Sus scrofa: one gene and its partners. Each later gene encodes a partner of the first gene's protein in a complex. Links are inferred from orthologs where the notes say so. Each region holds a gene or a part of one and is shown in the gene's direction. Other genes may lie near its edges. The genes, in order: LSM2, PRPF6, PRPF3, LSM5, SNRNP40, LSM3 and LSM7.

Region 1 (4,444 bases):
AGTTTGTGCAGTGAGCACATGTCGTCTGTGAGCTAATTGTGAATGATTAAGCCGGCGTGGGCAAAGTCTTTGAATTTTCATAAGCTAATCATTTCAAGGGGAAATAACTTTTGATCATTAGTCACCTTTAGCCTCAGAATAGTTATTAGTAGAGTTACAATAGTTACTGCTTATATTCAGGGATAGACTGATTTAGGTGCTTAGGGTTCAGAGGTACAAACTTCTGCTTGATGTCCTGGTGTTACTTATCAGTGGGGTCTGTCACTCACAGGGTCCCTTATTACATCCTTTACATGCTGAAAATATTTCTACAACAAACTCCTAACAAATGGGTAGTGAGGTTTTTTGTTTTGTTTTGTTTTGTTTGTTTGTTTGTTTGTTTGTTTTGCTTTTTAGGGCTGCACCTGTGGCATATGAAAATTCCCAGGCTAGGGGTCCAAGCAGAGCTGTAGCTGCCAGCCTAGGCCACAGCCACAGCCACAAGGGATCTGAGCCACCCTCTGCATCCTACACCACAGCTCATGGCAATACCGGATCCCTGACTCAGAGTGAGGCATTGAACCTGCATCCTCATGGATAATAGGTTAATTTACACTGTGCCACAATGGGAACTCCCAGATGGATGCTTTTTTGCAAGATTAGAAACAGAGAATTTAGGAGTTCCCATCGTGGCACAGCAGAAACAAATCCGACTAGGAACCATAAGGTTGTGGGTTCAATCCTTGGCCTCGCTCAGTGGGTTGAGAATCCATTATTGCCATGAGATGAGTTGTAGTGTAGGTCGTAGACGCGGCTAGGATCCTGTGTTGCTGTGGCTCTGTCCTAGGCCGGCAGCTATAGCTCCATTGGACCCCTAGCCGGGGAACCTCCATATGCTGTGGGTGCGGCCCTAAAAAGACCAAAAAAGAAAAAGGAGAAAATGGAGAATTTATTTGGATCTCATTCCTTGAAAAAAAAATTTCACCTTTTGCGTCATCGCATACTGATAATGCTTTGGGGACATGAGTATAGAAATACATGTAACTGTGAATTTGTGTCCCTTTGTGTTTGAGAGGGCAATGTTTGGAAGTGAAATATCAGAATGGGTATTTCTATCCCTGAGTCAGTCGGTTTTGCTTTACTCAGCCCCTTACAGGAAAGCCCTAGGCAAAAGCGTAAAAGAAATGTGGACTGAGGTTGGGTTCTCAGGAGAAATAAGTTTATCGGGAACCTTTGACAAAATCGGATTTGTGTGCAGGTTCCTGATCTTGGGAACTCAAACATTTTTACTTTTATCAAAGTGTAAGAGACATAGAAAAGTGTACAAATCATCATGGGTTTTCACAAACGCCCAGTTTGCAATAGTAAGTGTCTTCAGGGTATGAGCAAATCATGCTGGAACCACACTATTTTTAAAAGGAAGAAAACTTGAAAGCCGGGGGAGCCGTCAGAGCCCGAGCCTGCGCAGTGGGAGCCGGCCGCTTGGGGAGGAAGTCGGAAGGCGGGAAGCCCCGCCCCTTCCCTGGCTTTCGCGTCCCCTCGGTCCTACCCCGCCCGCTCTGCTTGTAGCCGGAGCGCACGGTCCGCTCTCCTCCGTCACCCTGAGCTTTCCGCGGCGCTTCCCGCCGCCCCTGCGCAACCCCGCCCCGCCTCGCGCGCGGCCTTGTGCTCCGGTTCCCGCCCGGCCTCCGGACCGCGGTACCCGGCCCTCGCCTTCCCGGTCAGGCGGGCATCCCGCGGTGCAAGCACAATGGTAGGTACCGTGATGTCACAAGGGGGCGCCCTCGGGGAGCGCGACCGTTGGGATGGTTGGGGACGGAGACGGGGTCGCGGGGCGGCGGCGGGGCGGGGGGGCCCTCCGGGAGCTTTGTTCCTTTGGGCTGACGTTGGGCCCTGGGATTTTTCTCTCCCTCCTTACTTCCTGCAAATCAGGTTCGTTGGGGAGAGACCTCAAAACGAATGGGTCTTATTTGTTTGAGTCGGCGGGAACAGCAGGAGAGGGAAAAGCTAGACCTCAAGGAGCACTTCCCTGACAGACCAGGCCCCGAGAGGGTGCGGGTGTTACACTTGGTACCCTTCACTGGGTAGTGGGGGCAGGACGCCGGGAGAGGTGGTCCACTGAGAGCCGAGCCCGAGGCGTGCGGGCCAGAGCCTCTCTCCCGGGCTTTAGGTCAGGCGCTCGAGGTAGTAATCACCGGGGCTCCAGCCGTTTTTCCGAGTATTCTTTCCTCTTAAGTTTTGAGAACTGCCAGAGAGATGCGGCGGGGATCCCCAGGACCAGTATCTCATAATACTGGCCGGGGAACACGCCTCTGCCCAAGTCCCTTCCCATATGATGTTTTTTCCCCCTCTCGCCCAATAGCTCTTCTATTCCTTTTTCAAGTCCCTTGTGGGCAAGGATGTGGTCGTGGAACTCAAGAATGACCTGAGGTAGGTACCTGTTCCGACAAGTCTGTAGGGGGTGGATGTGCCCAGCCCTCCGGAACAACCTCTTTAATTTGACAAGTATTTGAGGGCTGGGCAAGATGGGAGAGAGACAAACGAAAGAAATGACTTGTGCCTTAAACTGACAGATTAGCTGCAGAGTTTTATCTTTATGGGAAGAAGATCCAAAGAAAAATGTAAGTACTAGAAAGAAGTCAGGGGGCAGAGGCATCAATCACTTTTTTTTAATAAAAGTTTTTTCTGATGAAATCACATGGTCCTTTGACCCAAATTCTAGAAATGTAAGTATTGACTCCAGAAGTAAAGATTTATGTACAAAAATTTTGGTAGTTTTTTTTTTGTTTGTTTGTTTTAATAGTCAAAAATTGGTGGAGGGGAGCCATTAATAGGGAATGGGTTATGGAGTACCCTTGTGGTGCAGCAGGTTGAGGATGTGGCGTTGTCATTGCTGTGGCACGGGTTCCATCCCTGGCCTGGGACTTTTCACATGCCACAGGCACAGCCAAAAAAATAAAATAAAATAGGGAATGGGGAGTTCCCGTCGTGGAGCAGTGGTTAACGAATCTGACTAAGAACCATGAGGTTGCGGGTTTGGTCCTTGCCCTTGCTCAGTGGGTTAACGATCCGGCGTTGCCGTGAGCTGTGGTGTAGGTTGCAGACGTGGCTCGGATCCCGAGTTGCTGTGGCTCTGGTGTAGGCCAGTGGCTACAACTCCAATTGGACCCCTAGCCTGGGAACCTCCATATGCTGCGGGAGCAGCCCAAAGAAATAGCAAAAAAAGACCAAAAAAAAAAAAAAATAGGGAATGGGTTAGATTTTGGTATTTCCATTAAAGGCAGCTGCCACATGGAAATGAGTTGTATTAATATGGAAAGCTGTTGCAGAATCATCTATGTGGTATAATTGCCCTTTTGTTGTAGACAGTATAAAAGATAAACAGATGACCAGTGCAGTCCCTTGTGTCTGTACTGTTTTTACATCCCTCGTCCCCTTGTATCATTAACTTCAAATCATCTTTTAGGACGTGGATTAAATGCTGTATCCTTGCACTTTCCTGGTTCTTCTAGGCCATAGACACTTCTATCATATAGAGTCTTTCCTTTCTAGTGGGTGCTTCTCAAACTGTGATTTCATAGAAATGTATTTACTGTTTAGGGCTGGTCTTCTATAGGGCCAAGATGTGTTTAAGCGCCCACTGTGTACCTGTGTCTAGCACAGCCCTGGTATAGAGTAGGTGCCTAATGTGTTCTGAAGGGGAAAACAAAAGCTAACATTTGAGGCTCTCCTATAGACTAAGCACTACTCTGAATACTCATTTATTAACTCATTTAATTCTCTGAACACCTCTACATGACATATACTGTTGTTGCTGTTTTACATGAGGAAACTGAAGCTTGACTAGGTTAGGAAACTTGGTTAAGTCTATACAACTAGTAAAGGACAAAGCCAGAACTTAAATCCCTTTCTGCCTGCCCCTCATCCTTTTTTGTTGTTGTTGTTTAATTAAGAACAGGGTCATACTCTGTGCAATTGTAAAACTTGCTTTTTCACCTGACACTATGTTGTGGATATCTTCCATCTCAATAAAGTTGATCTTTAACGTTCTTAATGTCTGAAAGGTGCTTTTTTTTTTTTGAAATGGCTGCACCTGTGACAAATGGAAGTTCCCAGGCTAGGGATTCAATCTGAGCTAGATCCTTTAATCTCCTGTACCAAGCTGAAGATCAGACTCACACCTCTGTAAGGACCCTAGCCGATGTAGTCGGATTTTTTTGTGGGTTTTTTTTGTTTTGTTTTGTTTTGTTTTCTTGGTTTAGGGACACATGTGCAGCATATGGAAGTTCCCAGGCTAGGGGTCAAATTGGAGCTGCAGCTGCTGGCCTGCACCACAGCCGAAGCAACAACAGAGCTGAGCCTTGTCTGTGACCTACACCACAGCTCATGGCAATGCTGGATACTTAACCCACTGAGCAAGGCCTGGGATAGAACCTGTGTCCTCACGGATACTAGTCAGGTTTGT
Region 2 (2,900 bases), on another chromosome or scaffold:
CTAGTCGGATTCTTTAACCATTGCTCCACAATGGGAACTCCTAGATTTGTTCCTTTTTTTATTTTTCATTTATTTATTTATTTTTTTCATCTTTTTGCCTTTTCTTGGGCCACTCCCGTGGCATGTGGAGTTTCCCAGGCTAGGGATCGAATCAGAGCTGTAGCCACCGGCCTACGCCACAGCCACAGCAACGCCAGATCTGAGCCGCATCTGTGACCTACACCACAGCTCACGGCAACACCGGCTCCTTAACCCACTGAGCAAGGCCAGGGATCGAACCCGCAACCTCATCGTTCCTAGTCGGATTCGTTAACCACTGCGCCACGACGGGAACTCCTTGTTCCTTTTTTAAATCTGTGAGAGTTTTTCACTGTTACTGAATCTTCAAGAATGTACGTTCCTTAGTGGCTTCACTGAGCTGTCTGGGTGTGTGACCCCCCCCCCCGTCCCCCTCCCGGGAGGGGGGGTCTGTTTGTAGTCTGATAGCCACCCCTGGGTTGTGGCCCTGCGCGGGTCTGTGGTAGCGCTTCCGATGGTTTTGTGACCGTGAATTCTTAGCTGCGAAGTCACAGAGTCAGTGGGAATGAAACCTTAGAGGTGTTTGGACTTCCGGCCCCCCTGCCCCCAGAAAGTTGTCCTGTCTGTGCCACCTGGGCTGCTGGCTGTGGGGGGTGGGCGGTGCCGCTGGCCCCTGCTGTTCTCCCCAAATGTGCAGGAGGCGTAGCTGTGGACACTGGGCTTAGAACGTTCAAAGGCTGACCTCGGGCAGCCTGTGTGTGGATGGGCATGTTTCTGAAAGCAGGGTGGGTTGTCTGCATTATGGATTTTAGGGGTCCTCTGGTCCGAAGCCATCTTCCTGGAAGCGAGACCCCAGAGGAAGACCAAGAGTGTGGATGCCCTGAAGAAGTGTGAGCACGACCCCCACGTGCTCCTGGCTGTGGCCAAGTGAGTAGGGTCCCTGTGGTGCTTCTGAGCACCTTGCCGGGGCCTCCTGGTCCCTGGGAGAGGGTGGGCTCCCCTGGTCCTTGGCCCCCGCAGCTCCACCATGGAGCACGTCCCCAGTCAGAGGCCGCATGGGCCTGGGTTGCCTGCTCATCCCTGACCTGCCTTCCTTCTCCTCGTTCCTTCTCGTGGGTCTGCTCTTGCCGTCTCTGCCACTTTTCAGTTTGTTCCTGTGGGTCCCGTGGGTTGCAGGACAGGCACAGGCCTGCTGACGCTGGTCCTCAGAGAACTGAAGTTATAAGCAAGCCTCCCTTGGTCCAAAGGGCTGTAAGCAAGAACATTGCTTTCATCGGGTTAGGGTGAGAAGGCAGGCCCTTTGACCCCTGCAGCCCAGGAACAATCCAGGGCCTGTGGCCAGGCCCAGCCCATGTCCCCGGGGGTGTGGAGGCGACTCTGCCGGAGCCACCTGTCCTCAGGGGACCTGGCCTCCAGGGCCAGGGGAGGCGGCTCTGTGGGGTGCTGGGTCAGAGGCCCCGTCGAGACGAGACGTGTGGAAAGAGGGAGCTCGGGGCCTTGAAAGGACTGGGTGAGCTTGAGGCCAGTGTGTGCAGGGCCTGAGACCCTCCTAACCTCACAGGGTCTCTGTTCCCTTCTCGAAGGACAGGGGCCTGAGAGGAGCAGAACCTGAGTGCAGGGCAGAGGGTGGGTGTGGTCAGGGCTGGGAGGTGGCGGGGTGGAAGGGCTGGAAGCATCATCGTCGTCATCGAGGCTCTCCCCCCCGCCCCCCCGCGTGAGGGGGTGTGGGCCGGGGAGCTCCCAGGTGCTGTCCCTGCCTGACGGGATCCCGGGCAGCCTGGGCCCCCCTGCTCAGGTTCTGCCCGGCTCCTCCGCCCCGCTGCAGGGGAGGCACTGCGCCTGGGGCTTCCTGCAGGCCCCAGAGGCCCAGCTTGGGCCCTCCCAGGGCTCCCACGGTGACTTGTGCGTGACACTCCGATAGGGCTGCCATAAAACCTCATAAAAGGCTTTGTAAAGTAAACAGGTTCCTTCCCGCTGTTCCCAGGCTGGTGCTGTGTGCTGCTATCTGGGTTTGTGCTCTTTAAATCACAGTTTATCTAACACCAAGCAATTAAGAATACCGCAAGGCTTAAAAAACAATCAGGCTATCAGAGCCTGGAGTGATTCCTTTCGAAGCTGAGCCCAGCCTGAAACAGCTGCCTGAAGGGTTTGCGCTGGTGCTTCTGGCGGGGGAGCTGGGTGGAGGCGGGCAGCCCCCCCTCTGCCTTCCCGCCCTCGCTGGCCTGTGGGGACAGCTCCCTGGGTTCCCGGTCTGGCTTTGGACCCCAGGGCTCCTCTCCGGGTCTGGTTTTCAGGCGTGTCTGCTTGTGGCCCAGGTTCTCTGTTTTGGCTTTGGGCTCCTGCTGGAGCTGCCTCCTGAGGCGAAATGTCCCAGGAGGTGAGAACCGAGGGGCTGGAGGAGACTGCACTTCACTCCCCCAGTCAGGGCCGTGGTCTGATGTTTTGTGGGGTTGGCTTTCTCTCCTGGTACTTGGCTCAAAGGAAAACAATTTAAAGGAGTCTGAGGTTCTTGCTCCGTGTGAGTGGTGGGGGTTTTTTGGGTTTTTTTGTTTTTTGGCTGTGCCTGCGGCATGCAGAAGTTCCCAGGCCAGGGATTGATCCTGCACCACAGCAGTGACAGCTCAGGATCCTTAACCTGCTGAGCTCTCAGGGAACTCGTGTGTGTGTGTGTGTGTGTGTGTGTGTGTGTGTGTGTGTTTCGTTTTAAGGCCACATCTGTGTCGTATGAAAGTTCCCAGGCTAGGTAGGGGTCAATTCGGAGCTGCAGCTGCTGGCCTACACCACAGCCATGGCAACACTGGATCCAAGCCGCATCTGTGACTTATACCACAGCTTGCAGCCGGCCGTATCCTTAACCCACTGAGCAAGGCCAGGGATCAAAC
Region 3 (4,007 bases), on another chromosome or scaffold:
GTGGGTTAAGGATCTGGAATTGCCGCATACTGCAGTGTAGGTCACAACGTGCGGCTCAGATCTGGCATTGCTGTGACCGTGGTGTAGGCCGGCAGCTGCAGCTCTGATGCAGCCCCTAGCTTGGGAACTTCCGTATTTCCTGAGTGCAGCCACAAAAAAAAAATGGGATTCTACTACTTCCCTGTTTTCTTTGACTCCAATTTATCTTCTTCTTCTTTTTTTTTTTTTTTTTTATCTTTAGGCCCAACTGGAGAAGCTACAGGCAGAGATCTCACAGGCAGCTCGAAAAACAGGCATTCATACTTCGACTAGGCTGGCCCTCATTGCTCCTAAAAAGGAGTTGAAGGAAGGAGATATCCCTGAAATTGAGTGGTGGGACTCTTACATCATCCCCAATGGCTTTGACCTGTGAGTTTGTTAGTTAATACCTTTTAGTAAGGCTAGAGTTTTAATGGGCAGGACAATACTTGTGCTTTAAATTAGATCTAAGGAGAATAGGTAACCACACACAAGCTCATATATTTGTTAAGAGTATGTTGTATGGGTTATTTTTAGGTTTTTTGGGGTTATTGGAGGAGGATTGGTCACAAATAGTCTAAATAACTTGTGGAGGAGTTCTCGTTGTGGTGCAGCAGAAATCTAACTAGCAGCTATGACGTTGTGGGTTTGATCTCTGACCTTGCTCAGCGTTGCTGTGAGCTGTGGTATAGATTGCAGATGTGGCTCAAATACTGTGTTGCTGTGGCTGTGGCATAGGCCGGCAGCTGTAGCTCCAATTGGACCCCTAGCCTGGGAACCTCCATATGCTACAGGTGCGGCCCTAAACAAACAAGCAAACAAATAAATAAATATGCAAATAATTATAAATTTTCTATTTGCTTTTTTTTTTTTTTTTTGGCCACACCCCTGATGTGCAAAAGTTCCTGGGCCAGGAATCCCACGCCACAGCAGTGACCTGAGCCATTGTAGTGACAGTGCTGGATACGTAACCCACTGTGCCACATAGGAACTCCAGAATATTTGTTTTCTTCTCTTTTCTTTTTATGGCCGTACCCACAGCATATGAAAGTTCCCTGGTTAGGGGTCGAATCTGAGCCACAGCCACACAAAATCTGAGCTGCATCTGTGACCTAAACTGCAGCTTGCAGCAACCCACTGAACGAGGCCAGGGATTGAACCTGTATCCATATGGATACTAGTTGAGGTCTTAACCTGCTGAGCCACAACAAGAACTTCAGAATATTTGTTTTCTTTCTTTCTTTTTTTTTTTTTTTTTTTTAACACTGCACCTGCAGCTTATGGAGGTTCCCAGGCTAGGGATTGAATTGGAATGGCAGCTGCCAGCCAACACCACAGCCACAGTGACACTGGATCCGAGCTGCATCTGCCATCTCTACCACAGGTCATGGCAATGCTGGATCTTTAACCCACTGAGTGAGGTCAGATTTGAACCTGCGTTCTCATGGATGCTAGTCTAATTCGTTTTCACGGAGCTATGAGGGGAACTCCAGAATATTTTCTTAATTTCATTCTTGTAGTTCCTGCTGTGGCACAGTTGGTTAAGGATCCAGTGTTGCCAAAGCTATAGCATGGGTGGCATCTGCTCCTTGGGTTTGATCCCTGGCCTGGGAATTTCCAGCAGAAAATGAAATACATTATTTTGCTCCTTTTAATAGGTGTTTATATTTCTTAAAGATCCAGACCTAGAGTAGAGCAAGGATTCTTAGTTGTTGAGGGAGAGAATAATAAATAAAGCATATAAGAAACATTTGGAGAGCTTTTATCATATCTTCTTCATCATTTTGATACATGGCTTTAGGAGACTGTCTCAGCCTTTCCTTACCCTTCCTTGGCCAACCACTGCCCCGGGGAGTTATTGTTACTAATGAGAGTCCATGGTATCCATCAAAGGTGTTGAGGTAGAAAAAAGGTTGAGAATGGTATAAAGAGTGCATCCAAATGGAACCATTTTCTCATCTTGAAAATTATGTGTAATATAATTACATATTATAGATATGCAAATACTTATAAAAGTGCTAGAATTCATTATGGAGAGTGGATTTTTTCATTGTTTCTGAGACTCCCTCTCTTGGAATCATCTCTACCCACATATCCTGTTTTCCCTTCTTCCTCCAATTTTAGTACAGAGGAAAATCCCAAGAGAGAAGATTATTTTGGAATCACAAATCTTGTTGAACATCCAGCCCAGCTTAACCCTCCAGGTAATAGATTACTCAATCAAAGCTCTAGAGAACTATTATACAATAGAAATTTATGTGGTAGTGGACGTGTTCTCTATGTGAGCTGTCTGTACAGTAGCCGCTATCCACATATGACTATTAAGACTTAAAAACTGGAGTTCCCCTTGTGGCTTAGCAGTAACGAACCTGACTAGTATACATGGGGACTCAGGTTTGATCCCTGGCCTCACTCAGTGGGTTAAGGATCTGGCATTGCTGTGAGGTGTGGTGTAGGTTGCAGATCTGATGTTGCTGTGGCTGTGACCTAGGCCAGCAGCTACACCTCCAATTCAGCCCCTAGCCTGGGAACGTCCATATGGTGTGGCCCTAGCAAGACACACACACACACACACACACACACACACACACACACACACAAAACAAAGAACTTAAAACCTGAGTTGTAATAATATATAACTCAGGGACTGAATTTTTAATTTTATTCAATTTTAATTTTAAATTTAAGTAGAAAATGTGGTTAGTGGCTACAGTATTGGACAGTGCAGCTGTAGAGCACTGAGGCCTAATCTAGAAATGGCTTCACTGATGTATATTACAAATTGGCCTTTTGTTAGTGTTGACTCCCAACTCTAGTCTTAGACACCACCACTAAAGTCCTGGCCTTTTTCAGTCTTTGTCTTCAGCCTTTCTATCATTTTTGTAGCAAAAGTGTATTGACTCAGTTGAAAAAGATGGGTTTTAATCGTGTCTGTGTTTTTTAAGTAGCTGAATCCCTTGTGTAAATCACTTAGAATACAAAATTTCCTCATATGTAGGAATAATATTAAGTTATATTCCTTCTTCAAGCGATCATAAAAGATTTTAACACTTTGATCAGTTTTGGAATAAACAAAGGAAGTTAGTTTTTTACTCAGTTACCAAGTTTACTCAATCAATAAATCTGCTCACCATCACAGGGAATTATATCCAGTCACTGCGATGTGTGACTGGGTCACTTTGCTGTACAGTAGAAATTGGCAAAACACTGTAAATCAACTATAATCACAAAAATAAAAATCAGAAAATAAAAAATTTGCTTACCAGTATCTCCAATAAGTTCAGGAAAATAGATTGAGAGCTTGAAATAATGCAAAGTGTAATTGTTGAGTTGTATTTAATAAGAATCTACTTAACTGTCATTAGTATGAATCATCAAAAGAATGCAGAGGGTTTTATATGTTTTATCAAGTCGAGTAAACCTTCTTTAGGAGTCCAGAAGATTTTTTCCAATTCCAGTAATTCTCAAATTATAAATTTCATCATCTTGGCCAGTGGTTTTCAAGTTGTATTCCATAGACACATTGAGGTTCAATAGGTAGGATCCAAATGAGATTCTGCATATCTTCTACCTAACCCAAATCCTCACACAGGGCAGCCAGAGCAGCTGTAATATTATATTTTCCATTAGCCACGTTTCAGTTGGTTAAAAGGTTAAAAGAAAAACAAGTAGAATACAACTCCTGAAATATAAGAATGCTTTTTAAAGACATATCCAAAATAGCATGGATTATTATTATTATTATAAAAAAAAACCCAAACCAAAAGTCCTTTTAATGTGATTGATATTTACCTATATCTCTCTAATATGCTATTTGTTTTTGTACATTCATTTTCCTGCCTGACAGTTGACAATGACACACCAGTTACTCTTGGGGTATATCTGACCAAGAAGGAACAGAAGAAACTTCGAAGGCAAACAAGGAGGGAAGCACAGAAGGAACTACAAGAGAAAGTCAGGCTGGGCCTGATGCCTCCTCCAGAACCCAA
Region 4 (4,568 bases), on another chromosome or scaffold:
AGAAAATAAAACATATTTTAAATCCCTCCTATCACAGAAAAGTTCTTTCTTTTTTCTTTTTTTTTTTTTAAGGGCCGAACCCACGCATATAGAAGTTCCCAGGCTAGGGGTTGAATTGGAGCTGTAGCTGTGGCCTACCTACAGCCACAGCCGCACTGTATCAGAGCCACCTGTGCGACCCACACCAGCGCTCAGAGCAAGGCCAGGTCCTTAATCCACTTATCAAGGCCAGGGATTGAACCCTTGTCCTCAAGGATACTAATCCAGTTCCTTACCTTTGAGCCACGAGGGGAACCCCCAGAAAAGTATTTCTTTAAAGCTAGCTATGGGTTTGCAAACTTTTTTTCCTTTGGTCTTTTTAGGGCCGCACTCTGCAGTCTATGGAGGTTCCCAGGCTAGGGGATCAAATCGTAGCTGTAGCTTCTGGCCTAGGCCACAGCAAAGCAGATCCCAGCCACGTCTGAGACCTACAATTGCAGTTCATGACAACCCCGGATCCTTAGCCCATTGTGTGGGGCCAGGGATCCAATCCCCTGTCCCCAGGTACTGGTTGGGTTCCTTACCACTGAGCCACAATGGAAACTCCTACACTGAACCTTTAAAAGAAGGTAGGGGAGTTCCTGTGGTGGCTCAGTGGTTAAGGAATCCGACTAGGAACCATGAGGTTGCCTGTTCGATCCCTGGCCTCGCTCAGTAGGTTAAGGATCCGGCGTTGTGCCTGAGTTGTGGTGTAGGTCGCAAACGTGGCTTGGATCTGGCAGTTGCTGTGGTTCTGGCGTAGTCTGACAGCAACAGCTCCGATTAGACCCCTAGCCTGGGAACCTCCATATGCTGCAGGTGCAGCCCTAGAAAAGAAAAGAAAAGAAAAAAAAAAAAAAAAAAAAGGTAGGGAGTTCTCCTTTGTGGCTTAGAGGATTAAGAATCCAACTAGTATACCTGAGCGTGTGTTGGATTCCTGGGGTCGTTCAGTGGATTAAGGATCCCCTTGTTGCTGCGAGCTGCGGCTCAAACCCACATTGCTGTGGCTGTGGCTAGGCCGGCAGCTGCAGCTCGATTTGACTCCTAGCTTGGGAACTTCCATGTATCTGCTCTGTGGCCTTAAAAAGAAAAAAAAAAAAAAAAAAAAAAAAAAAAGCGGTAGATTCCTGTAAAAAAAAAAAGTTTTTGCTTTTGTTTTTTAACAAAAATTGCAACACAATAAAATCAGTGGCGGAAAAAATATTTATGTTGGTCTTCAGAAGATCCTTGGTTGAAATGAAATATAACCCAGGGAAAATCAAACGACTCAAACGTTTCTATTTTGCAGTCTTCCAGGTTGAGGAATATTTTATTTATAAGGCAAGATATCTTTAATTTGTCTTGGAAACTTGGAGGGCAAAGTATCTGCTGAGGCCGCAGAATGTTCAACGCACTGATGTATTCCCCCGGATCTCGTTGCGGAGGAAAGAAGTGACTCCGAGCGATTCACGTAGGACTGGCCCGATCGCACGCTCGGCCTCAGATTGGTCGAGCCTGGCCGGGCTAGGGGAAAAAAGCGGAAGCGCGCTCTTTCAAACTCGCCTTCCCAACGTCGGTAGAGGCTGGCCACTTCCGGCGTAGCCATGGCGGCTAACGCTACGACTAACCCGTCGCAGCTGCTACCTCTAGGTAATCGTTGTCCTGTGGGGAGCTGGGGAGGGGAGCTGAAGGGTTGCGGGCCGAGGGCCAGCGCAGTCCTTGACTGAGTGTTAGAGAAATGTATCTGACCAATTGTTTTCTTTATCCGCGGCTCTTTGGGCTCTAAGGCTCTGAGGCCTCAGGCCGCCCGCGTCTTTTCGGCGTGGAAGGGTTTTCTTGAGCCAGGACTTTCTGAGTTCTCACACCAAACCGTCACTGGAAAAGGTTCACACTTAGTGAATGCGTCGTCGGCCTTTTTTGTTGTGAGTTCGCCTTTACAGTAGTGGATAGCAGTCCCATTCTTCTACCTGGCATTTAAAATCCCTAGGTTAGACCCTGTTGTCTGTCTGGCCCGTTATTGAGAGAGGTAGCGGGGTCTGCAATGAGCTTTAAAAGGGGACACTGGAAATTAGCTCTGATTGTCATTCATTTATTCCACAAACAGTTTTTGCGCATCTGTAGACTAGACATCGTAACTTAGCTTCAGGTAGCATTCATGCCAGCGCAGGAGACAGGATGCCAGACAATTAAACATCATACCAAGTAACAGTAATTCTGCTGAAGAGATATTCAAGCTGCTCTCAGAGAACAGAGGATAGCCGTCTTGGGGCTGGGGAAGACAGTTATGTCTTTTTCTAATATTTTGTATCTGAAGGGTAATTAAGTTAGTGGACGTGGCGGTAATTGGAAAGTTTTTTCCTTCATTGAACAAAAAAAAGTTTCTTTTTAGGCCCGCACCCGAGGCACATGGAGGTTCCCAGGCTAGGGGTCCCATTGGAACTGTAGCTGCTGGCCTTCGTTTCTGCTGCGCCACAACGGGAACTCCCGAGACCTGAAGTTTTTGAGTGAATCCTTTTCTTGGTTTATCTTTCACCATATGTAAGTAATAAGTGCCAGTAAGTACTCACATATTTCTTGAAGTAATGAATGTGCAAAATAATTTTTTTCACCCCTCCCCCCACTTATTTTTCTTTTAAAAAACCTGTATCTATAGAGCTTGTAGACAAGTGTATAGGATCAAGAATTCACATTGTGATGAAGAGTGATAAAGAGATTGTTGGCACGCTTCTCGGATTTGATGACTTTGTCAGTATCCTTTTAAAAAGTGGGGGTATGGGTTTTTCTTTGTTTTTTAATTAAAAAAATTTTTTTTTGTTATTATTTTTTATGTCTTTTCTAGGGCTGCTCCCATGGCATATGGAGGTTCCCAGGCTAGGGGTCGAATCGGAGCTGTAGCCACCGGCCTACACCAGAGTCACAGCAAAGCGGGATCCGAGCTGCATCTGAAACCTACACCACAGCTCACGGCAACGCCGGATCCTTAACCCACTGAGCAAGGCCAGGGACGGAACCCGCGACCTCATGGTTCCTAGTCGGATTTGTTAACCACTGCGCCACGACGGGAACTCCATCTTCAGTTTTTTTTAAAAAAGTAAGAACTATAGTCAGTGCTTACTGATTATTATAATAAAAATTAATTTATTCTCATGGAATTCGTGGTAGTGTTTTAAGGGGTGTGTGTACCCCTACCAATCGCAAGCAATTTGAATTTGAGTCATTATGTTAAATGTTATTTTTTTATTTTTATTTTTTGTCTTTTTGCCTTTTCTAGGGCCGCTCCCTCGGCATAGGGAGGTACTCAGACTAGGGGTCTGATCGGAGCTGTAAGCTGCTGGCCTACGCCAGAGCCACAGCAATGATGTATCCAAGCCACATCTTCGACCTACACCACAGCTCATGGCAACGCCAGATCCTTAACCCACTGAGCAAGGCCAGGGATTGAACCCGCAACCTCATGGTTCCTAGTTGGATTTGTTAACCACTGAGCCATGATGGGAACTCCCAATGTTATAATTAAAACTGAACAAAGACAGAAGCCAGAGTAAATTTAACATGGTATATATTTTCTTAACACCAAATTTCAGATATGGTACTGGAAGATGTCACTGAATTGTGAGTAGTGTTAAAAATTAAAGAATTGGGCAGGGGGAATCTCTCTTTAAGGCAGTTGTAGCACTGTTGAGTCAGTAAAATGATGTATGAGAAAACACTGCCTGTTTGAATCACTAACATAGAAATTTTATGACTGAGGTTAGTAAAATTGGATTGTAGGATTATTACCTTAATTGTTAGGAAATTAGTGGAAACAAAGCTTTAAGGTAAAAGACACTAAAAGCAGTGAGGGATCTTAGGGCTCAGATCAAAAGTATTTAATACTTTGAATTGAATATAGAAAATGTAAATGATGGCTCAATTATATTAATTATAAAGATTGTGACCAGTAGTAGATCTGCTTTCAGAATTGAATTGATTACAGAATGGTATAATGGATAGGAAGCAGAAGCAAATGAATGGTTAAAAAAAATGAGGATAGTAAACATTTTATTTCATATTTGATCTCCTAGGCAAGTTTTAGCTTTTTAAGTGAAGATCAGCCCTAGTGGATGTGGATCTTAGATGAGCCCGTCAACTCTATTCCCTGTGGGGAAGAATAAACCAATGGATAACTTTTGTCTCATGTTTTCATTTATATATAATAATTAGCCTTTTGGGGGAATCAAAATGTTGGCTTTGACAATCACTGTTTATCCTGACTTTTTGTTTTGTTTTAATTTTTTCTTTATTTTTATCCTGACTTTTTAAAAAATCTGTTTAGTGAAATCACACCAGAAGGAAGAAGAATTACTAAGTTAGATCAAATTTTGCTAAATGGAAATAATATAACAATGGTAAGATACAGTAAAGCTATTTTATTTAGATGTTAAGCCATTTTTATGGGGCAGGGATTACAGAACTAACTTGTCTAAATGCTTGTGGCCCAGTGGTACTTAAAATGGGAAAGGGATGCTGGTGGTCAGGGCTCTAAAGCCATTAAAGATGACATTAGGCCTAAGATTAGTTTGTGATTATTA
Region 5 (4,686 bases), on another chromosome or scaffold:
GTTGTCATGGCTCAGCGTTAATGAACCCAACTAGTATCCATGAGGACGTAGGTTCCATCCCTGACCTCAGTCAGTTAGTGGGTTAAGGATCTGGTCTTGCCGTGAGCTGTGGTGTAGATCGCAGACTTGGCTTGGATCCAACGTTGCTGTGGCATAGGCCAGCAGCTATAGCTCTGATTTGACCCCTAGCCTGGAAACCTCCATATGCCTTGGGTGAGGCCCTAAAAAAGAGACCAAAAAAAAAAGTTATGGCCATCATTGCAGAAAGTCACAACACCAAAAAGCTGGTGACTAAGAAACCCACTGCCTCTACTATGGTATTTGCCAGCAAAGGAGGATGCCTCTCACCCTCCTCCTTTCCCTTCCAATTCAATTCTCATCTTAGGTGCAAAGGAGTCTAGAAAATATCTACCTCTCAGTTCCACCAACACTCTATAGTCTTCATTGCTAACAACTCTCACCTCAGCGGTCTATTTGCATTTATCTCCCCTCCAATCTATTCAAACTACTGAGCCAGAAGGACCAAGCTGCCTCCTCCATCACACCACCTTCTCCACTGCAAAATACAAAATAAAACCTCAGTGATTTCCCATCAGTCTTAAAGAAAAGCTACAAATTCCTACACAGTCTGGCTTCCACTTGCCTCCAGCTTCATCTTGTACCACACTCCCCTTTATTCTCTTTGTCCTGGCAACACTGGCCTCTTTGTACCTTTTAGTCATTTTCCTCTCATTTGCCATTGGGCCTCTGCACATGCTGTTCTATATGGAATATTCTGCCCTCCTCTCTTCCCCCAACTAATTAGAATTCTTCCTTCAGGCATAGGTTCAGGCATCTTTTTGTTAGACAAGTCTTCCGGCTTATTTCTGGCACTCAAAACACCAGGTACCTTTCCCTGGCAGCACTTACTTTGCATTCCCTATAAAGATCATTGTTGAGCATCTGTTTTTCCCATCGGACTCAAAGCCCTGAGGTCAGGGACCATGTTTGGTTCACAATGTCTCCTCAAAGCTTTGCACCATAAATATCAGTTGAACGATTAAGGAGAAAACCTACTTCACAAGTATGAGTCTGAATTTCTCAGCCAAGACTGTGCTCTGGAGACCAAGAGTCGGACATTTCCTTCATCTCTCTCTCTCTCTCCCTCTCTCTCTCTCAGGGGCACAGAGCAGGCGCTGGTAAAAGGCTGCAGTATCACGGCAGAAAGAAGTCGGCCTCCAAAGTCTGAGACGACCCTGGTGGAGGCTGGGAAACTGACCTTTTCTCCCAAGGAGCACCTGGCACAGGGCTCGACACAGAAGGCGCTTGTTAAAGAAAGCAGCCGTCGAGGGCCCCAGGCAGGCGCAGAGACCCCACTGCTCTGCTCCAACCTAGAAAGGGAACCCAGGCCACCATACACCAAGAGCTAGGAACTCAGGGGCCCCCTCTGCCCTCTGCGATCAACCCTGGGCTGAGAGAGGCCAGCTTCAGACCACACAACGGAGGCGCCGCCTCCAGATTCCGCAGCCACCCACCCCCAACACTTACTCGGAGTTAGCGTCAGGTCTCCCCGCCGCAGCATTGCGCGAAACGCCAGAACCCAGTCAGCGCGCTTCCACCCACAAGACCCAGCGCGCCGAGGCGGGACTCCAGCTCGTTCCACCAATCCTGGAATCGTACTCTAGTGACATCAGAATGAGTTGCCCAATAACTGGAGACTCCCCAGGGGGCGGTGCAGAGGGGAGTATTGGAAGCCGATTGGTTTCTCCAAGCCGGAAGTTCTAAGGGAAAGACTAAGTCGGAGCCAATCGTGCGCTCCCTGAGGGTGTCGGCGCGGTCAGTGGCGGCCTGAGGAGAGCGGTTGCCGCCATGATAGAACAGCAGAAGCGCAAGGGCCCAGAGTTGCCTCTGGTCCCAGTCAAGCGGCAGCGGCATGAATTGCTTTTGGGAGCGGCGGGGTCGGGCCCGGGAGCCGGGCAGCAGCAGGCGGCGCCGGGAGCTTTGCTGCAAGCGGTGAGTAAACGAGCAGATGGCCTTCGGCCCTCAGCTCATCTTCCTGTCTCCTCAGTGCTCCACCGTGAGATCCCGTACCGGCCCTTTCCCTGCACTGCGGGGGCGGAACGGGACTCACACCAGGGAGTTAGAGCAGAAAAACCTGTTAAAGCGGTCAACACCCTGCGATGCTACGTTTCCCCGTTTGACGTTTCAGCGTCTCGATGGCCCTGTGAGGGGGCGTTAGAATTAGTGAGGGATCTTAAAACTGGGCCCCGGGCTTTCGCATCCTAAATCTTCCAGGGATCCAGCATAGAATAAACGTTCAGGAAAGTTGAAAGAGTGGATGGATGAATGAAGGAAGAAAGAAAGGAAGGAAATGAACGATACTAGCTCGCTTTGGGACTTGGGGCAACTTGCTTTGGGGAAAACTCTTTCTCTGCACTAGTATTAACAACTGAAGAATAGGTAACACTTATTGAGCCATGTACTAAGTGTTTTGTATATGAAAACTCCATTAATCTTGGTCACTGCCTAAGAGGTAGGAATTGTTAATTGTCCCATTTTGTAGATGGGGAAACAAACTTCTCTAATAAGTGATAGAAACCGATTTTAAAATCAGAATCCAGGCTTTTAACTAGAGTTCTTATAAGATAGAGGTAGTGATGGATGACATCTCTCCTTCTGCTCTATTAGGCTTAGCTGAAGAATATATGTCCCCTCCTGAAACTCCTCAATCAGGCTGTCAGCAAATCTTTGCTGGCACCATCCTTAAAATAAACCCAGATTTGTTACCACTTCTAAATATCTCCATCACTACCTCCTGATCTAAGCTGTTATTCTCTCACCTAGTATTCCTGCTGTAGGATCCTGATGGCATTCCTGTTTCTTTTCTCAGATGCTCATTCTATTCTCAGTCCAGCAGCCGGAGGAATCCTTCTAAACATCAAATCATGTTAACCTCTGCTGAAAACATGCCATGGCTTTTCGCTTCACTCAGAGTAAAACTAAAATCCTAACAACCTTTTGCCCTCTTTCCCTTGACCTCTCTGATCTACCAATTTTCCATTGCTCACCTTACTCCAGTCACATTGGCTTCTATGCTCCTACCACACACAAAGCCTTTGCATTTTCTTTTCCCACTACTGGAGTGTTCTTTTTCCAAATGTCCACCTGGTTTACACACTCAGCTCCTCCAAGTCTCTGCTCAAATATCGCTTTTTCCATGAAGGTTTTCCTGACCAACCTGTTTTAAATTGCATACCTGGGTACTCACTAACACATTGCTGTTTGGTTTTCTCCATGGTACGTACCACCACCATCTATACCTTATACTTGTTTCTGCCATCCCTCCCTCCTTTCTGTCCCTCCCTCCTGCTAGAATACAACCTACATTGTTTATTTTGTTCAACACTGTTTTCTCAATGTCTAGAACAGTGCCTGACACATAGTATTTTTTGAGTAAATGAATAAGCTGGAAACTACTGATGAGATTTAGGAATTATTAATAGTGTATTTGTTCTTTTGGTTTTTTTTCTTTAGGACAGCACCCATGGCATATGGAAGTTCCCAGGCTAGGGGTCAAACCAGAGCTACAGCTGTTGGCCTACGCCACAGCCACAGCAACTCAGGATCTGAGCTGTGTCTGCGACCTACACCACAGCTCACGGCAACGCCGGATCCTTAACCCACTGAGCTAGGCCACAGATTGAACCCATATCCTCATGGTTCCTAGTCAGGCTTGTTAACCACTGAGCCATGAAGAGAATGCCAGTGTATTTGTTCTTCCATCTGACAAGTAAGAATATCAGCTCAAGTTTCTGTGAATTGCCCAAGCCTAGGCTTAGTGGCTAAAACCGTAAACAAGACTACTTTCCTTAGTAACCTTGTACCCTGCAAGGTTGTTGGGAAGCTCAATTCAATCATTCATTCATTAAATGAACTAGAAACTGGGAAGACTGTTGAATGACTCTATAGGGTTCCTGTGGTCACAGAGCTTTTCTAGTGGCACAGTAGGGGAGACACTGTAAACAAGTAATGAGGAAGGTAATTTCAGGTAGTTAGAGAAGTGCTGTGAGAGGTGTTGCCGTTGTGGTGCAGCAGAAACGAATTCGACTAGGAATCATGAGGTTGCGGGTTTGATCCCTGGCCTCACTCAGTGGGTTAAGGATCTGGCGTTGCTGTGGTTCTGGCATAGGCCGGCAGCTGTAGCTCCCATTAGACCTCTAGCCTGGGAACCTCCGTATGCTATGGGTGCAGCCCTAAAAAGCAAAAAAAGAAAAATGAAGTGCTGTGAGAGAATCCCTAAGGTTGATAGCATGTAGAAGGGAGGTGGAAGAGTGCTGCTTGAGTTTGAGTGTTCCAGGAAGGACTTTCTGAAGCAGAAATGTTTGAGAGGAGTCACACACAGGAAGATCTAGGGGAAGGGGTTTCTGTCTTGTTCCTGCGGGTTCAGCTACAAGTATAAGAGATCCTGAGGCAGAAATGAGTTTAACATGTTTGAGCAATCAAAAGTAGGAGCGCAGTGAGGGAGGAGGAGAGTTAGCATAACAAACAGACCCTGGAAACTTCAGAAGAAGAGAATCTAATTAGAGACGTAAGTTATGTGAGAAGAGTTGCCATTATCTAAATCAGGAAAAATATACTCAATCATTGTTTCCATTGTCTTTTCCTTGTACTCCCCATTACCCCCATTTTTCAGTCCCCCTAGCCTAT
Region 6 (4,526 bases), on another chromosome or scaffold:
TTATATCAGGAACCCCAGAAATCCCTTCTACAGCATACATGTATTATGCAATGACAAACTATTTATCAAGCATTTGGTATATGCAGGGAAGGGGAAAAGAACAAGATAAGAAAATTAAGATGTTTTTATAACTTTCAATTCTGGTAAGAGAGAGCAAACAGGAAGCAAATAAATTAACAAGGTCATTACAGATGTGACAGAAGCTGTGATAAGGTGCACCTGAAAAGACCATCTTAGGACATTCAAGGAATACCTGGATTGAGACCAGGAGGAAGAGAAGTCAGCTACAGCAAAGCCATGGAAAAATATTCTAGGCAGAGGCTCAGGTGAGGAATCACATGGTGTGTGTGAGGAGGCCAAGAAGGAAGGTACCTGGCAAAGAAGACTAGGAAGAGACAACAGGAGAGGCAGCAGCAGCCAGATCATACAGGGTCTTGTAGGCCAAGGTGAGGAATCTGGAGGCTGTTATGCCAATGGGAAGACACAGAGAGTCTGAAGTGGGAGCATGGCAAAATCAGATTTTTTTTTTTTAAGGTACTTTGCGCTGCAGCACAGAAAACTCCTCCAGGGGGATGAAAAGAAGTAGGGAGACCCGTAGAGAGGCAACTGCAGTCGTTCAACTGAAAAGTGATGGTGGTTTCGACAGGGTATGTGGCCATGGAAACAGAGAAGTGGAGAGATTTGAGATATGGTTTTGAGGTTAAACTGATAGGATTTGCTTTCTGAAGGACTGGATGTGTGTTGGAGGGAAAAGGAGTTTGTTTTAACAAGTGATGAAGGGGTCAAAGACTGATATGGGGTAAAAGTAAGAAAGGGATAGGTTTAAAGGGGAAATCAAGTGTTTTGCTTTGCGCATGACAAATATAAGCAGCCTACTCGATATGCACGTTGTCAGGTGGGATCCAAATCTGGGACTCTCCACACACCACAGCACTCTAAGTCTTGGTCCCTTCGTCTCGTGGCGACACAACATAATAGCAGTACCTTTCACATATTCAGCCCCCTGCTTCCGCCTGCATCCTGGGGGCGAAAAGGAGCAGAAAGAGGCTACGCAGAGGAACTCGCGGTCGGCTGGGCTCTAGCGGAACGTCTCAGGGCGCATCACCTCTGGCCAGGAGAGCAAAGGCGCAGGGCCGCCGGGGAGCACCTGGGCACGTGCACACCCCCAGCCTCCCTAGGCCTCCGGAACACCGCCCCCAGCGCAGGTGGGAGGGAGGATGCCTCGCTCACACCTCCAGGAAGCCGGCCTCCTGCTACCCCCACCCAAACCTCTTCCACCCTCCCTACCAACCCCAACTCAGCCTGGCTCATACCCGCCTCCTTCTCCTCGCGCCGGGCTTTGCCCTCGCCCTTGGCCTTCTGGCCGCGCAGTTTGCGCCCCCGCGGCGCCCTGCCCGCCGAGCGCTTTGGAGCCATCTCTGCCCGGGCAAGACTCGCCTAGAGCGTGACGCACCGCGTCTCCGCGGGACGCAGCTCGCGCGCGGCCCCGCCCCCAGGCGGTGCAGGGCCTGGTCACGCCCCCTCCGGTAGATTCCCGCCTGCGCCCAGGCTGAAGCTCCGCCCCAGCCTCAAAGGGACCAATGCAAGCTGCAGGAAGCAAGAAGCTGTAAAACCAACCTCTTTCTACTTCCAGTGCATAGAGTCCTCACGTTTCCGGAGACTGGGGTGGGCATAGGGAGCAGCTCTCGTGCCCTCGCGAGAGGACGGAAAGGGCGCAGGGTTTGAAACATGGCGGACGACGTGGACCAGGTGAGTATCTTCTGAAGAGTTCGCTCTGGGGCGGCTTCTCCCTGTCCAGGCCAGGGTGTGCCCAGCTTTGTTTACCAGGGTTGTTTTCCCCAAGCTCAGGGTTGCTTTTCCCAAACTCACGAGAAAGTGGCCTGTCACGCCGCCTCTTTCTGGGTCATCACGGCCTTAACCTGCCTCTTGGTTAACCGCGCCCCCTCCGAATTTTGCCTCAGGCCCTGAGACCTTTGTTGTTCAAAACCCTCCTGAAAATTAGTTATTCCTCACTCTTCTCACTTCCTTTCTCTTGAGTCTCACGTTGATTTGTAGAATGAGAACCATTATCCTTGCCTGCCTCACGGAGCTCTCGGGATTCTGATAGAAAGGCTAATAAAACATTTAGTGGGTTATTGTCATTACTGAGCGCAACAATGATTACAGGGTCTACAAACACTAGTGAGTATCACCTTTGTATAGTTAGAAACCTTTCTAAATACCAGGGACATCGGCATTGACTTGGGAGATACCTGCCCAACTTGGGGCTTATATTCGAGGGAGCACAGATAACAAGTAAACATAAATATGCGAAACATATGGAAACTGTGATGTGGTAGGCAGGAGACAGGGAGCTGGTATTTAGAATAACTGATGGTCCTTCAGGCTTTCTCACCTGCTGTCCCGTCTTCTCCAAATGCTCTTCTTCAGATGTTTTTGTGGATTAGGCCGCAGCTTCAGCTGTTTACTGAAATCTCACCTCATATCAAAGAATAGGTCTCTGGCCACCTGCATAAAATGCACTCTCCCAGTCTGCCTTATTTTTCCTCATAGCATGTTCTTTGTTCATATTGAGTATATGGTTCCTTGTTTAATGTCTGTCTCCCCCAGCTAGAATGTGAGTCCCTTGAGAGCAAGAGTCTTGTTTTGTTCACTATTCTGGGTTTAGAACAGTGCTGGAAACACTCAACAAATATTCATTGAGTGAATTAATTGGATGGTCTGGGAGGCCTTTTGAAAAGGCAGTACTTAAAGCTACAGGATAAAAAGGATGGACAGTGGGAGGTAGGTCTCTGTCATGTATATATTCTTACAGTATTATGATTACTTACTTATATGCCTTTCTCCACTAGAATGAACTCCTTGAGGGTAGGGACTGACTCCTGTATCACTGATCTAGTAACTGGCTAGCTGGTCTTTAACAAACATCTGTTGATCTGGAGATGGAAGCAGTTGAGGTCAGGATTTCCTTTCTCTTTTTTGCATCTAGCCCTTTAAGGCTATAGAGACTGTAACATTCAGTCACCTTCCTCCAATGACCCTATGTAATCCCCGAAGCAGCTCTCCTTAAATAATCTTATCAACTCACCCTTCCCTTCAACCATCCCTTCCACATGGACCCCAGTCATCCTAGCCATCTTCATGAAGGGAAGATTGTGGCTTCCTCATTTTGTAAACAAGGAAACAGAATTAGAGATGGTTTTTAAACCCAGTTCATGAATGTCAAAGTCAGGGGTTGAACCCACACTGCCTGACTCCAAAGCCAGTGCTTTCAACCAGTATTTTTCTATACTGCCTGCTAAATATAATCATCTTACTGGCCAGATGGCACCCTAAACTCAGCCTCTCCTGCACTGCACTCATAATCTTTCCTCAAACATTCATCTCCACTTAGTATGTGGTAGTCATTGTGTATGTTCTTCCAATTGCTAAATGATAACATGAAAGAAAGATGAAGACCCTGAGACAGTAACTCCCTATACCCTGAAATGGGGTCAGACAGTTTGGATTTTGAGAGAAGAGAGTGCAGTCATGATTATTTTGTTGTACAGCTCCTTTCTGTGTAGGTATGTTTCAGCCCTCATTTATCCAGCACTTAATATACGCTAGGCACTGTTCTAAGCCTTCATATATGTATTTTAAGCCTCACAACAGTAGTATTAGGTAGGCATTCCTGTTACACACATTTTAAAAATTAGTAGACTGAGGCATAGAGGGGTTAACTAACTTGCTCACAGTCACACAGGGCACTGCTGGTTCAGAAACTTCACTCTCTAGAACTGTATTACTAAGCCTGTTTCTTTTATCAGCAACAAACTACCAACACTGTAGAAGAGCCCCTGGATCTCATCAGACTCAGCCTGGATGAGCGAATCTATGTGAAAATGAGAAATGACAGAGAGCTTCGAGGCAGGTTACATGTGAGTAAATTTATTAAATCACCTTGAAATTAGATTATTTCCTCAATGTTGCTCCCTAACCCCACCCCTTGGAAATGTAAAAACTGTCCACTGTGAAAGAGTGTTTTGAATAGATGAGGAGGTGGAAAGTCACCTGTATTTCTAAACACCAAATGAACTGTACTTTATTCATATGTTTAACACATTTTTCTCTTAATGGAAATATGTCTACTAGAGAACATTTTCATTTCTTTCATTTTTTCCTTTCTGTTTATTTGTAAATAAGATTTATTTGTCCTCCATTCTTATTTAAATGTTCTTTAAATTACTGACATGCATATAAATTTGCGTTTTCTTGTGAAAAATTTTACACAGGAATACGTAGAGTAAAAGGTGAAATCCTATTTCTTCTATTGGGTCTATAGTCTTTCAGATCTTTTCTGTATATTTACACAGAACAGATATACATGAATATGTGTCTATATGTATATATTTACACTGTATACACCCTCTCTAAAAAATGAATGGGATCATGCTATACTTTTGAGTTCTGAATGTCTGAGTTGCAGTACTTGTTGATCGAGCCCACATGTGCCAAACAGCTAGTTCTGGCGAGGCTGCAGTGTT
Region 7 (4,768 bases), on another chromosome or scaffold:
AGCGGAGCCACAGCTTCCCCAAATAAAGCTCTCACGCTTCTGCCTGGCCCTGCTCACATCACCTGCAACACCCTCCATCTGCTCTCCTGACCTAGCAAACTCCTACTCGTCCTTCAGAACACCCTGCAGGCACCGCTGCTCCTGAAAAGCATTCCCAGGCCAATTGCATCCCTCATTCTGTGGTGTTTCCATGACCCTCCCCCTGCTTCTAGCTTTGCACTCCTTTGGAATACCCAGACAGCTCAAGGTCCCTGCCTCGAGTTGCTGAGACAGCTGAGGAAAATGAGTGAACAGGGCTCAGGGAAGTACAGGGGGCTGGCAAAGCAGCTAGGGGGGCGTCCCAGAGAGCCTGAGAGGGAGGGGCAATGAAGCTGAGGCTAAGTGTATGACCAGGCAATTCATACACAACCCTACATACAGAACCCTCCCTGGGCCTGGTTCTTCATGGCGCTCAAGAGGAAGACCAGCTCTCCACTGACAGGAGGCTGCTTGCTCACAGCCCTAAACCCACTCCCTACCATTCTGTGACCCTGGGCGAAAGAGAGAAGTGCAGGGAGCCTTCAATACACTAGAGCTGGAAAGGGGAAGCTTCCTGACAGCCAGATCACAGGGGCTTCACGAATGCACCAGGAAGCTGCCAGAAGGCTCTCCTCTGGGCACAAGACATGACACACTTTGAGAAAGATCGCTCCTGCAGTGTTGAGAATGAACCGGGGGTGCAGAGAACAAAAGTGGCCACAGAGGAAAGCCATCTGCCTGGAGCAGAGGTGGAGGGGCTGGAGCAGGCTAATGACCCAGTTTTGGGAGCTGTTGGGGGCCACCACTGCCTAAGCTGTGGAACCTGAGAGAGGGGGAGGATTTGGTAATAAAAGATGCACTTATGACAATGTATATCAGCCACCTCGTGGTAGTTCCCCCCACTAGCACCTGGAGACCCTTAACGTTAAATGACAGAGAAGTAGCATGCTGCGCGTTCATGATCCCATATATCATCTCGCTGACTCTATACTGTACACTTATCTTCCTTTTGCAGACAAGGAACTGATACTCAAAGCGGGGAACTCCCTTGCCAAGGTCATGCGAGCAAAAGATGCGGCGGCGATTCGACCCCACTTCGGGGCTGGGCTCCCGGCTGCGTCCCAACACCGCCAGACCCTGGGTGCCGCGCTGGACAGTTTACCACAACCACGGTCGAGGCAGATAGCGTCGCACTCAAGGAGAAACTGAGGCTCGGAGAGGGGTAGCTCCCAGACCAAAGTCACGAAGCTAGAGGGGCGTCTCTGGCGGCGGTTGGAGACCCCGGGGTGGACAAGCGGGGCTCGGGGCAGGAGAGGGGGAACCCCCCCTTAAGACTCCGGCGGGGCCTGGTGACGCTGCGGCTGGGAAGGGCTTCCAGGCAGGGAAGGCAGACGCGCCGGGGACAGTCCGGCAAGGTCACTGCCGGCCCCGAGCCCGCGGGCCGACCGCGTAGGGGGCACGGACACCCTAGGTTGACCCCCAGGCCAGGCCGAGCGGACCCCTATGCGGGGTCGGGGGGCCAAGGAGTAATGGCACCGCGGATGGCGAGGCCGCCAGGGTCGGCGCCGCCCTCACCTGGGCTGCGAGGAGAACGAAGGCCGCCGCGAGCCGAGCCAGCGATGCCACCGCCGCCATGTCGCCCGGTCCCCGCCGCAGGCGTCGGCAGATGTTTCCCAGCAACGCCTTGGCGCCCCGCGCTGCGCAGGCGCCAGGCGTCCGCCGCGCATGTGCAGGGGGCAGAGGCCAAAGGGCGCGGCGCGGCGGCGGCGGCAAGATGGCGGTGAGCGTGCGGCGCGGCTGGCTTGGCTGGAGGGGCTGGCGGGGCAGAATCTGGCCGCGCTTCCCCCCTCACGCAATGTGCTTTCCTCGCAGGACAAAGAGAAGAAAAAGAAGGAAAGCATCTTGGACCTGTCCAAGTACATCGACAAGACTATTCGGGTGAAGTTCCAGGGAGGCCGCGAAGGTGAGGCCCCGCCCCCTGCCTCCCCCCCCCACTCTCCCCCTCTTAAGGTCCACACGGGGTAACGGGCAGCGGTACTGATGACGAATACCTGGGCGGCGCTTTAATCGTTTAGTTCGGAGAACTCGTGCCGGCTTGCAAAAGGCGCCGGGAGGTAGGAACGATTACGGCCCTGTTGCAGGTGGGGAAACTGAGGCACGGGAAAAGGCCCCAAACTAACCCAAAACCCAGTGGCTGGGATTCACTGCTCTGCCTGCTGTGGTTCTTTCTCACCCAGGTGGCTGCCCCAGCTCCTCACCGTGCTCCTGCACCAGGGTTTCTCAGGCTCGGCACTGCTGACATTGGGGCAGCAGTGTTCTCTGTGGAGGTTTGTCCTGGGCGTTGTAGAGTGTGAAACAGCATCTCTGATTCCCACCCACTTGATGCCAGGAGCCCCCCATTCGTGACGACCACAGACCTCCCAGACATGGCCCACTGTCCCTTGGGGGACAGAACTGACCCGGTTGAGAACCATGGCCCTATGGTCAATTTTTATGAAGCCACCAGAGGGATCTGTTATAAAGAAATCCCATCTCCTTGTTCACGGTTGTTCCAGGGTAAAGGAGGAACCTTTTGCTCCAGAGTAATGCTGGGAGTTCTCAACCGCCACAGGGCTGTAAAGATACTTGTTTTCTCTGTCTTGAGCACCTTTACCAGGTTAACTGGCTACCAAGTTAACTTGGTCATTTCCCCACTGGCAGCTCAATACCATTGCTCTGGGAAGCTTTCCCTGACTCCCCAGCCCAGGTCAGGCCTCTTTGTTATGAGCTTCTACTAGTACCTGTCACACAGTTTGCAGCTTTCTGCTGTTATTGTGAGGCTTTAACTCTGCGTCTCCTACTGGAATCTGGTAAGGAGACTGCAGGGTCATGCGGGCAGTGCCGTCCATGGCAGAGCCCTCTTGTCCACTCAGCTGCTGTGGAACTTTGGGCAAGGCACTATCTTTTCTGAGCCTCAGTCTCTTCCTTTGTCAGAGGCTATTATTGACTCCGCCCACCTCAGCAGTGGGGATTAAAGAGTTCAAGGCAGGTAAAGTGTTAACAGGGTTCCCGATGGAGGTTCCCAGGCTAGGTGTCTAATCGGAGCTGTAGCCGCCGCTTATGCCAGAACCACAGCAACTCGGGATCCGAGCCGTGTCTGCGACCTACACCACAGCTCACGGCAACACCAGATCCTTAACCCACTGAGCAAGGCCAGGGATCAAACCTGCAACCTCATGGTTCCTAGTCAGATTTGCTAACCACTCAGCCACGATAGGAAGTCCCTGACAGATAATTCAAGGTCAACATTTCACTTATTCAGCTTCCTCTGATCTTCAGTTTCTTAAACAGTGCTCCAGATCCCTCCTTCCCTGAGCTGTGGACAGTTGAGTAGCATCAGAATGGCTAAAAGCACAGTCAGTGCCTGCCAGTCGAGGTACCTGGCACAGTGAGGATTTGAACATGCTAGTACCATCCTAGCTCTGAAACATAGGAGATAGGTCTCGTCTCGGGGTGCTTATGTTTGCAACGCTGCGGAGCAAACGGCCACCAGTTAGCTGCTTAAACAACACACGTTTTTATCTCAACAGTGTGCGTGGTTTCTATACTCTGGGTGCCTCAGGTCGCTGACAAGGTGGCCATAAAAGAGTGTCTCTGGGAGCTTGTCATCTGAGACCCAGTTCCTCCTGCCTGCCCACTGGTTGTTGGACTCAGGTCCCCGTATTCTGGCTAAAGTGGGCCAGAGACCCTTTTGGCTCTTGGAGGCTGCCTGCTGCCCTTGCCATGGGCTCTGTCCATCGCCTAGCAGTTTGCTTCTTCAAAGCCAGCAGGAAAATCTCTTTTGTCCAGAAAGTGCCCATTCCTTTAGTAGCTCACCTTTCAGGTTGGGCCTACCCAGCATAGCCTCCCTTTAGGTTCACTGAAAGTCAGCCGACTCTTGAACCTTAATTACAGCTGCGAAGCCTTCTGTCTCTGTCACATGACCACAGAGTGATGTCCCATCGTTGCTCCTGTTCCACACTGAGGGGAGGGGGTTCCCAGGCGTGTTCTCGGGGTGAGGGAATGCCGGTTCTGTCTCAGAATCCTGCCCGCCTGCCACAGTGCACCCGTCCCCTTGAGGGGGGCAGACCCACAGGTGTGGGCTCCCGGCCCCCAGGCCAAGTGCCCGAATGCATTGTCCACTCTCCATAACCCCATGAAGTAGGTTCTATCACAGTCTTTGTTCCGTAGGGGAGGGTCAAGCAGGAAAAGGACGCAATGACAGGGCTTCAAACTCAGGTGGGGCCGACAGACATTTTCTATAGAAGACCGGACATGGAATATTTTCAGCTCTGCAGGCCAGACTGTCTCTTTTGAAACCACTCAACTGCCATTGCAGCAGGAAAGCAGCCACAGGCGACATTTAGCAAATGAACATGGCTGTGAGCCAGTTAAACTGTTTACAAAACAGGCACAAGGTTTCGCTGACTGTTCTGGTGGGGGTGGTTTGGGGTCAGCTGACACTGCTCCCCTTCTGGGAGCCCTTCCCTCGCTTTCTCCTTGGTCCCCTGTCTCCAGAGCAGCTGCTCCCACATCTGCATCTGGTTGCAGGGTGACCCCTTGCCGGTGGGGCACCCCCATCCTGCCGACACCTGGATGCAGTTCAAACCTGCCCCAGGATGACCACTGATCTTCCATCTCTCTGTCTCTCTTCTTTTCTCGGTGATTCTGACAAGCCAGTGGAATCCTGAAAGGGTTTGACCCACTCCTCAACCTCGTGCTGGATGGCACC

Evidence for each region.
Region 2: LSM2 (region 1) and PRPF6 share a complex: the UniProt entries of both Homo sapiens proteins name them as parts of the U4/U6-U5 tri-snRNP complex. The link is inferred for Sus scrofa from reciprocal best matches to the Homo sapiens genes LSM2 and PRPF6.
Region 3: LSM2 (region 1) and PRPF3 share a complex: the UniProt entries of both Homo sapiens proteins name them as parts of the precatalytic spliceosome. The link is inferred for Sus scrofa from reciprocal best matches to the Homo sapiens genes LSM2 and PRPF3.
Region 4: LSM2 (region 1) and LSM5 share a complex: the UniProt entries of both Homo sapiens proteins name them as parts of the precatalytic spliceosome. The link is inferred for Sus scrofa from reciprocal best matches to the Homo sapiens genes LSM2 and LSM5.
Region 5: LSM2 (region 1) and SNRNP40 share a complex: the UniProt entries of both Homo sapiens proteins name them as parts of the U4/U6-U5 tri-snRNP complex. The link is inferred for Sus scrofa from reciprocal best matches to the Homo sapiens genes LSM2 and SNRNP40.
Region 6: LSM2 (region 1) and LSM3 share a complex: the UniProt entries of both Homo sapiens proteins name them as parts of the precatalytic spliceosome. The link is inferred for Sus scrofa from reciprocal best matches to the Homo sapiens genes LSM2 and LSM3.
Region 7: LSM2 (region 1) and LSM7 share a complex: the UniProt entries of both Homo sapiens proteins name them as parts of the precatalytic spliceosome. The link is inferred for Sus scrofa from reciprocal best matches to the Homo sapiens genes LSM2 and LSM7.

Annotation. Positions count from the first base shown.
Region 1 is NC_010449.5:23,905,583-23,910,026, reverse strand, and holds the start of LSM2 (U6 snRNA-associated Sm-like protein LSm2), read left to right. Parts: upstream 1-1,503; 5' UTR 1,504-1,729; coding exon 1,730-1,732; intron 1,733-2,341; coding exon 2,342-2,409; intron 2,410-4,444. UniProt on the Homo sapiens protein: Plays a role in pre-mRNA splicing as component of the U4/U6-U5 tri-snRNP complex that is involved in spliceosome assembly, and as component of the precatalytic spliceosome (spliceosome B complex).
Region 2 is NC_010459.5:62,853,251-62,856,150, forward strand, and holds part of PRPF6 (pre-mRNA-processing factor 6), read left to right. Parts: intron 1-830; coding exon 831-945; intron 946-2,900. UniProt on the Homo sapiens protein: Involved in pre-mRNA splicing as component of the U4/U6-U5 tri-snRNP complex, one of the building blocks of the spliceosome.
Region 3 is NC_010446.5:98,754,301-98,758,307, reverse strand, and holds part of PRPF3 (U4/U6 small nuclear ribonucleoprotein Prp3), read left to right. Parts: intron 1-241; coding exon 242-408; intron 409-2,142; coding exon 2,143-2,222; intron 2,223-3,865; coding exon 3,866-4,007. UniProt on the Homo sapiens protein: Plays a role in pre-mRNA splicing as component of the U4/U6-U5 tri-snRNP complex that is involved in spliceosome assembly, and as component of the precatalytic spliceosome (spliceosome B complex).
Region 4 is NC_010460.4:40,750,882-40,755,449, forward strand, and holds the start of LSM5 (U6 snRNA-associated Sm-like protein LSm5), read left to right. Parts: upstream 1-1,508; 5' UTR 1,509-1,601; coding exon 1,602-1,647; intron 1,648-1,658; exon of another isoform or gene 1,659-2,535; intron 2,536-2,650; coding exon 2,651-2,746; intron 2,747-3,581; coding exon 3,582-3,609; intron 3,610-4,312; coding exon 4,313-4,385; intron 4,386-4,568. UniProt on the Homo sapiens protein: Plays a role in pre-mRNA splicing as component of the U4/U6-U5 tri-snRNP complex that is involved in spliceosome assembly, and as component of the precatalytic spliceosome (spliceosome B complex).
Region 5 is NC_010448.4:87,876,703-87,881,388, reverse strand, and holds the start of SNRNP40 (U5 small nuclear ribonucleoprotein 40 kDa protein), read left to right. Parts: upstream 1-1,765; 5' UTR 1,766-1,848; coding exon 1,849-1,992; intron 1,993-4,686. UniProt on the Homo sapiens protein: Required for pre-mRNA splicing as component of the activated spliceosome. Component of the U5 small nuclear ribonucleoprotein (snRNP) complex and the U4/U6-U5 tri-snRNP complex, building blocks of the spliceosome.
Region 6 is NC_010455.5:70,345,826-70,350,351, reverse strand, and holds the start of LSM3 (U6 snRNA-associated Sm-like protein LSm3), read left to right. Parts: upstream 1-1,671; 5' UTR 1,672-1,728; coding exon 1,729-1,749; intron 1,750-3,809; coding exon 3,810-3,920; intron 3,921-4,526. Other genes in the region: XPC (DNA repair protein complementing XP-C cells), read right to left, coding at 877-1,020, 1,314-1,416. UniProt on the Homo sapiens protein: Plays a role in pre-mRNA splicing as component of the U4/U6-U5 tri-snRNP complex that is involved in spliceosome assembly, and as component of the precatalytic spliceosome (spliceosome B complex).
Region 7 is NC_010444.4:76,245,374-76,250,141, forward strand, and holds the start of LSM7 (U6 snRNA-associated Sm-like protein LSm7), read left to right. Parts: upstream 1-1,651; coding exon 1,652-1,798; intron 1,799-1,890; coding exon 1,891-1,981; intron 1,982-4,712; coding exon 4,713-4,768. Other genes in the region: SPPL2B (signal peptide peptidase-like 2B), read right to left, coding at 1,594-1,653. UniProt on the Homo sapiens protein: Plays a role in pre-mRNA splicing as component of the U4/U6-U5 tri-snRNP complex that is involved in spliceosome assembly, and as component of the precatalytic spliceosome (spliceosome B complex).